Daphnia pulex: one gene and its partner. The protein of the gene in region 1 interacts with the protein of each later gene in a biochemical or structural test. Links are inferred from orthologs where the notes say so. Each region holds a gene or a part of one and is shown in the gene's direction. Other genes may lie near its edges. The genes, in order: E3 ubiquitin-protein ligase MYLIP-like and protein seele-like.

Evidence for each region.
Region 2: the proteins of E3 ubiquitin-protein ligase MYLIP-like (region 1) and protein seele-like form a complex in vitro, tested with the Homo sapiens proteins (2 studies listed by BioGRID). The link is inferred for Daphnia pulex from reciprocal best matches to the Homo sapiens genes MYLIP and CNPY2.

What each region holds. Positions count from the first base shown.
Region 1 is NC_060027.1:2,178,082-2,182,487, forward strand, and holds E3 ubiquitin-protein ligase MYLIP-like, read left to right. Parts: upstream 1-1,371; 5' UTR 1,372-1,606; coding exon 1,607-1,708; intron 1,709-1,786; coding exon 1,787-2,013; intron 2,014-2,080; coding exon 2,081-2,333; intron 2,334-2,394; coding exon 2,395-2,591; intron 2,592-2,665; coding exon 2,666-3,158; intron 3,159-3,230; coding exon 3,231-3,453; intron 3,454-3,516; coding exon 3,517-3,554; 3' UTR 3,555-3,785; downstream 3,786-4,406. Other genes in the region: programmed cell death protein 5-like, read right to left, coding at 3,960-4,168, 4,232-4,406. UniProt on the Homo sapiens protein: E3 ubiquitin-protein ligase that mediates ubiquitination and subsequent proteasomal degradation of myosin regulatory light chain (MRLC), LDLR, VLDLR and LRP8. Activity depends on E2 enzymes of the UBE2D family.
Region 2 is NC_060024.1:9,048,632-9,052,223, reverse strand, and holds protein seele-like, read left to right. Parts: upstream 1-1,359; 5' UTR 1,360-1,556; coding exon 1,557-1,689; intron 1,690-1,841; coding exon 1,842-1,957; intron 1,958-2,122; coding exon 2,123-2,158; intron 2,159-2,276; coding exon 2,277-2,450; intron 2,451-2,557; exon of another isoform or gene 2,558-2,573; coding exon 2,574-2,759; 3' UTR 2,760-2,985; downstream 2,986-3,592. UniProt on the Homo sapiens protein: Positive regulator of neurite outgrowth by stabilizing myosin regulatory light chain (MRLC). It prevents MIR-mediated MRLC ubiquitination and its subsequent proteasomal degradation.

The sequences.
Region 1 (4,406 bases):
ACTAGTATGTTAAAAACTAACCACGAAACAATTCCTTTTTTTATCTGAAGTTTCGTACGAAGTTACTAACCCACACCTTTGTTTTGGTTTTGACAAGAAACGAATGCCATCTGGTGAGAATGCTGAGCGGAATGATGATTCAACAACACACAGATGAGCGGAGTGATTCATCAAAGGGCATTCATACACATAGATACGCATTACGCATATTACATTGAAACCGAGGTTCAACTTTCTGGATTCTGGTCATCAAATACGGCCTTGTCATAGTGGTTGCGCATTTTATTTTTGTTTGCCAAAGAATGGTAAACTTGCGGAACTGAAGAAGCGTTAGAAAAGTGGGTGTTGCAGCAACCTACAGAATGCGCATCAGCGCGTATCTGTTTTAACATCCGTCAGCGTGCAAATAAACGCTGTTTTAGCTTTTCGTTTAGTTTCACTTGAATTCATTGTGTCAATAATTATGAAATTCTTAGAGAAACGCCTTGGTATACTCTTCATTAAAATGGGATGTAGCAGCAATCCAACGAACATGTTATCCTGAAAATGTAATGAATATGTAATGAATATGTCTAAAGAAATTAGAGACGATGAGCGGCAATGAAAGTGAGCAGATCTCGTGTCGTTAAAAACGCCCTTGTCACGTAAAACAAGGGAAAAAACCCCGGTTCGAGTATCTCTCCTTTTTAAAAAACAAATAGATTTATTACATCGCACTCTTATAATGTACTCTGCATTTTTACAAACGTTTTTATTCCTTGTGAGATAAGTATAAAGCCCCGTGTACTCTAAGACTTGTAGAAGAGTACCGACAGTGACACTAATATGTGTCGGATTGGCATATGTTTACTGAACTGGGAGCATTCATAGGTTAACGTTATCATTGATAAGAAGATTGGTAGAGGGAAAAGGGAATTTAGTGTTTTTACCAATCCAAGTCTGGGCTTACGGGAATTCCCTTTCCTTTTTTTTATCTGCATGGAATTGAGATCAAATATCCTCGTGGCATTTTGATTGTGCTTCAAATATTTTTCTTCCTTTTTATTTTTTCGACACCTCAATGGGAAGTGGACCAAGAGGTTTCCCCCTATAGCTTTCTATCTGCACTGTGAAAGGTGGGAAATTGCTAGAGAAAGTCGTGATTCAAAATAAAATTTCATGCAAATTTCAACAGTTTTCTTTTTCTTTTTAAAATAATTGTTTCCAAAAGACCTGCGTAATGCACCATAGTCCCTTCCGTTCGTAATGTCCATATATGCTTGTCCATTTCGTTGCATTTCCTTTGTGGTAACTCCAACCATTTCCCCACCGTGTATAGTGTATACGTTTATAAAGGGCGTGTACGCAATTTCAAATTGTGTTCTTTAAGGCGGTCCGAATCTGCTGGATAAACCGTGGTGATTGGTTGGAGAACGGCCTAGCAACCGTATCAGCTGTTTTCCCCTCCCATTTTTTCCCTTAAAACCTAAAAAAACAAGCAGAAGAAGCTATTCTTGATTATTTTTCGATGAGAAACCGAGGCGTGCTGTTTGATGTTTATTTTCTCCTTATAACTTAAATTCATTGCAAAATTTCTTCAATTCACATCTGATTAACGAAGTAGAAAATGTGGTGTCTGGTATCCCAGCCGAACGCAACGAAAAATGCAGATTTGGTAATAGAAGTACGACTCAGTCACAAAGCCACGGGGCAGGAGTGTCTCAGTCAGGTGAAACAAATTACTTTTCTGAATGTAAAAATTTTTTTGATCTGAGTTTTAATGTTTTTTTTTTCAAAATATTTTTAGGTCTGTCAAAAGCTTGGAATTATTGAATCAGATTACTTTGGCCTCCAGTTCACAACAGTCAGAAAAGAAGAAATCTGGCTGAACCTGAGAAATGAAATCCGACAAGAAATACATGCTCATCCTTTCAGACCGACCTCCACTGATGGAAGCAAACCTGCAGCCATCCGTTTCAGATTGAAAGTAAAATTCTGGGTTCCACCTCATCTCATCTTGCAGGAATCCACAAGGCAAAACCAATATTTTTTATCACAATACAATATGTTCAGCCATTTGAACAATTTGATTGAAAATTAGGCATCAGTTCTATCTGCAAGCCAAAGTTGATTTGATTGAAGGCAGGTTATCAGTAACAGAACCAGCAGCTACAGTTAGAATTTGTGCTCTTGTAGCTCAATCGGAAATGGGAGATGCAACAGGAATGCCCTGCCAAACAGAGTCTTACTTACTCAGTTTTTTCCCTCATGTGACTGTTAAAGACCTTGAATCATTTCAAGCCAGCAGGGATGAGTGGATAGCCAAAATCCTTCAACAACACCAAACCCTAAAGGTTGCTGCCCTCCTAAAGCAATCATTTGGAACCATTATCAACATTGTTGTTATGAATTTAGGGTATGTCTTCCACTTTGGCCGAGTATTGGATGTTGAAAGAAGTCAGCCAATTAAAAGACTACGGTACCGAAACGTTTCGGGCACGTTGGATTCTTGCCGAACACAGTGCATCTATGCGAGAATCGGTACAAAGTACCGTAGCAGTAAGCCCACAAGGTGTATGCATAACAAGTCTTGAAAGCGAACATCGCTTGAGGTATAGTTCTTTTTTAATTCGCTATTCAAATGATCGAAATAGAAACAAAAAAAAAATCTGTTTTTCCCTTATAGCGTCCCGTTCTGTGCAATTCAAGCTGCCACGAATCATAATGTGCGATTTTTATTGAAGCATCGGAATGACCTCGGTGGAGTCGAGTGCGCCTCACTCAAGTTAGAGACTTATCAGGCATCAATCGCGCTGTATCGGTCCATAACTGAAAAACATGCATTTTATAGTTGCGAAACTGTACGTAGCGCCGTGACGTCGCAATTCGTGCGAGATTTAAAAGGAACTATTGCGTCTTTCTTCAACGAAAACACAGATCTTGGTAGCGCCACGAAATCGTTATTTATTTATTTTTTCAATTCACCTATGTCAACCCACGATATTTGTTATCTTGCAGGAAAAAAGTATATTTTTGACATTCAACGCACCTGTCGGGAAGTTTACGACAATGCTAGACGGATCCTTTATCAAGCTGGGGATACACAAGTTCCTGCTCCGTCATCGCCTTCCTTGAGTTTTCCTACAGGACTTACATCATGCTCTGACGTTTCGTGCAAAGTACGTAGACGGTTATTGGGTTGAACGATTTTAGATTACATTTTTACAATTTATTTTGTTTATTGTTGATAGACTACGAGAGAACAATTCAGTCGTCTGCAGGAAGCTCTTCTCTGTCGCATTTGTATGGATGATGATATTTCGGCAGTGTTCTGTCCTTGCGGACACGCCGTTGCTTGCTCTTCATGCGCAAAGCGTTGCGTTCAGTGCCCGGTGTGCCGAGCTCCAGCCAATCATACGCAGCCTATTTTTTTACCTTTGTCGGTCGTTAAGGAAGGATTCACAATGAACAATGGTATTTTTAGTTCTTTGTTTAATCTATATGCACATGTGTGACGTAATACGTTTTTTTGGTTAGGAAACAAACGATTGGAGCAATACGAAATCGAGGTCTAACGGTCTATCTACTTGCGCTACCCCCTAACCCAACTTTGATATATTTCGTACTTCAATGCAAACTACGTGACTTCTGTGATCCGTAATTTGGCGGAAAAAGAGCGGCTTGATCCGTTTTTGTTTTCACTTACTTTAAATACCTCTGTATTTGTACAACTAACTTTATGTGATGGCTTTGTATTTTCCAATTTGAATTTTTCCAGAGGCTGATAAATTATGCTTTACATTTCACCTACTCTGTTAATTCTTTGGCTATGATTCAATTATTCAGTGTCAACAAGTCATTGGGCTATTTAAAAAGAGGGTCAAGATTGTGTATTCCACTCATTTGACAAAGAATCAAAAATGAAAGTATATATATACAGAACAAAGGAGATTTTCAAGAACCTACAGCTTTGCATTCAATCAATCGTCATCTTCGTCATCGAGAGCTGCACGCCTTCGGTCAAATTTGACGGTCGTTTCTTGTTTGGTTTGCTGGCTGACTTGCTCCAGCAGGCCTTTTAGCTCATTTTCTCCAAGTTGACCTCCAATCTGTCCTCGTCTTGCCATGTTCACTAGCAAGTTTTCCACCATAGCTGCTTTTTCAGGTTTGGCAATCCTAATAGTGTTTACTGTGAAACAAAATATTAATAATAAAATAACACAAAAAAAGCTTAAAATTTTTTAGTTGTTACATCTTGCTCTGGCAGACTGATTCAAAACTTGTGACAAGATGCTATTTTTCATATCTTCTTGCTGTTTCCTCTCATCTTCCTGCTTCTGCGCAGCCTGCAGAATGTTGAAATGTAATCCCGAGTCAAGCAGAACTGTCAAACTAATATACCTGACTTGGATCCCCTTGACTCTGTT
Region 2 (3,592 bases), on another chromosome or scaffold:
CAAATTCCGCCCCCTTAATAATCCAACATACTGTACATACATCTATCCTATTAATAAGTTGATCCACCCCACCGGAATCAAAAAAGAAATAAAAGATCGATGAGGAGAAGAGCGCAGGTTCCGCAAAAATAAAAAAATAAAATAAAAAATTTCGCGGAAAAATTTCCCCAGCCAAATGACGTCAGCAAGTTGCTGCTGGATCAACTTTGACCTTTCCAGAAAATGTGCGCAAACTGCGCACGCGCTTGTTTATATACACACACAGCCGGCACAGCCAGCCATCCAGCCAGCCAGCGCTGGATGCTGTGGATTATTAGACGATGCGCATGCCAAAAGTATATAGACGCCCTAATATTATACATCCAGCTCTATATAGCTGCCTGTGTGTGTGTGTGTCTTATATACATCGACCATCACCGTCACGTATTTCTTCTTTTTCTCTTTTCTCTTTCCACCCTTTTCCTGTATTTAGCTTCTTCCTTCATCATTTTCTTCCGTTTCCGTTCACATCTCTCCCGACGCTGATTTCAACCTCGTTACGCCATTACGTCTATGCTCCTGCTGCTCCCGCTCCTGTGTATACACGACGTCGACGTAACGGGGGCACAGATAGTAAAAGACGTTTCCGATTCGCACCCTCTAGCGTCTGTTTGTATATATAACTCTTTTTCTTTTTCTCTTTTAGGAATATAATACTAGGCAACACATATGGCTCAATACTATTATATATACTCGATCGAGTTGAGTTGCATCAGCTGTTATTTTTAAATGATGATGATTATGTTGGACGACAGCAGAGATCTTCGATGAGTGCGGGTGATAATAATGGCGCCGACTGGGATGTGCCTGGGCCAAGTGCGAGATCCTTTTTCTTTTTTTTCTCTCTCTCTATGTGCTGGCCGTCATTATTAGAGATAATCCCAACAGCTGATGGCAATAATGAAAGGCTTTTTTATTTTTTCCTGGATAAGAAGAAAGTTTCGGCGCTCTGTGCGTTTGGACGGTGACGTTTTCTTCATCCCGTCACTGACGTCAATTTCGGGCTCCATCAACTCGAGACTGTCTCAATGGCGATAATGGCGAGAGAATAGAGAAGAAAAGCCAAACAAACTTTTTTCTTTATCCCGATTCAGTCGACGGGAAGAAAAACGATGAAAAACGACACGTTCCCCCCCGACCGTCTTGTATTTTTATTTTATTTTTCTCTCGATAGACTCTAGGCTTTTCGTTAGCTTATGGCTTTTTCGGGCTTTTGACGCGAGTAGTAGTAGTAGTAGTATAGTAGGTTAGATACACACATAGAGGTGTTGGTGGGTGTGGATTAGAAAAAAGACCCGCCCTCGACAACGTCGCCATGGCTACCACGTCGTCAGCTTTTGACAGATGTCGATGTGTTCAAATGTGATTCGCCGACCAGTTCCAGTGCTTTTTTCTTTTACGTTATTCTTTTCTCCTTTATTTCGACTGGGTTTTTTCACGAGTGTTGTCCTTTTTCCTCCGTAGTTGTGCCAGTTTTATTTTTTGTTTAGTCTATTTTAGTTGGCAGCTCTTTTTAAATGTTGGAAATGAAATTGTCTGTCTTTGTTTTCGTGTTCGTGGCCGCATACGTCACAGCTAATGAACCTGATTATGCCAACGGGAATTTCGATGTTCCTTCCGTGCCGAAAAGAGAAATTCTGAGATGCATGGGTAACTTTTATAATACATCAATAATCACCTCTGTTTCTACTTCTAGCGATTTCCTGGCAGTGTTTCTATCACAGCAGCCAGCAATTAGTTCCATGTTTTCCTTGATACAGCATACTAAAAACCCTTTGCTAATGTTCCTTTCTTTATTACAGTGTGCAAAGCGTTGGTGGATGAAGTGGAAATAGCTGTTGATAGAGTGGACCCTCACAAAAAAGTTGACATGGGCAGTTTCCGCCTTGACGGAAAAGGAAACGTCAAACAAAACTTGGTAACTTACATTCTAATCAAGTAATTCATATCAAACATCTTGAATTCACAGCACACATATTGTGTTACTGACATGTTCTTGGTCAGTTTCAAGATGTTTTCAAAACCACAACAACCTGTTTTATCGTAGATGAGATAACCAAGAGCCACCTATCATTTGTTACAGGTACCTTATGCACGCAGCCAGCTCTTCCTCTCTGAGGTTGGTTCCACATTCTCCTCTTTCTCCCATGTTATATAACTCAAATAATCAGCAAAAAAAAACTGCAATGGCTGGACTCATCATCACACATAAATGAACAATCTAATTTGATGACTAGGTCATGGACAAGGTCTGCCCGATGTTCAGGAATTACGTCGTTGCCAATTACAAAGCCACTGGTAGGCCGACGCTCTTGAGAATTGAAACTCCAGACGGGAAAGGCATGAATCCCGAGATGAGCAACGTCAATATCGTTCCCAATCCCGAAGTGAACGAGCAATTATCTTCCTACGTAAGATTGGAAATTTGATTTATGCAGTTTATATTGTTTGACACCATATCTTAAATGATAACGAAACGTATACATCTCATTTTGTTATTGTTTTTTCGGGGGGGGGGGGGGGGGTTTATATAGTGTCAAGGTTTAGTCGAGGAATACGAAGATGAAATCGTGTCCATGTTCGCCAAAAGCGAGAAGCAACTCCACCAAAAGCTTTGCGTTCAATTGGCCGAGGTCTGCCCCAGAGATGCGGTCCCCGACTCGGACGATTCCAGTTCCGAATCCTCGGAGACTTACGATTTCGAACGCGAAGAATTGTAATTTTGTGATTGATTTGGTTTTTCTAAGGAAAAAGGAAACTCCAACCCCCCCACAAAAAAATGAATTATAAACATCGAGATATAAACGAGAAGTATAATTCTATTTAATTATTATACCAAAACTGATGGTAAACTACTGCCCACTAATATTTTGCTCTCGTTATTTAATGTATTTTTTGATCGAATTATGTAGGATTATAATAGTTAAAAGATTTTTATCCATGAAACATTGTTTGAAAGTCTATGGGGGGGTTAATTCATAATCATAATGGATGGGAAAAAGGAAAACAAATAAAGGGGGGTGTACGTAAGCCGAAGAGAAAGATCCTTTTCTTTTTTCTTTAGTCTTCTTCTCATTACAAACGACAGGTAAATGTATAATTATAAGTAAATATATCGAGTGGTGGTGGTGGTGGTGACGAATTCGGGCGGGGGGTTGTCAGGGCACGTTATAATATAATATGCTTAAATTGTTTTTTTCTTTTATATGCGTGTAGTAAACATCGATACAGAGGGTGGAGGGTGGTGGGGAGGAGAGGTGAGTGTGTGGGGTAAACGTTTTTTGTCTTTTTTCTTCCAGGAAACAAGAGCTATGATGTAATATCAACACAGATAGGGCAATTAACTCTTATTGATCAAGTTTATATAAAGCCCGATGTTGAAACGAGAGTTGGAAAGATTAGAAGGAGAGCGAGAGAACCAGTTGTCAAACGATATCGGGTTCTCACAGATTCTTGGGAGAGGAGACGAAAACAGATGATGAAGAAGAAGAAGAAATAAATGACGTGGTTTAATATACGTGGGGCGCCAAAACGGGTAGTAGTGGTGGTGGGG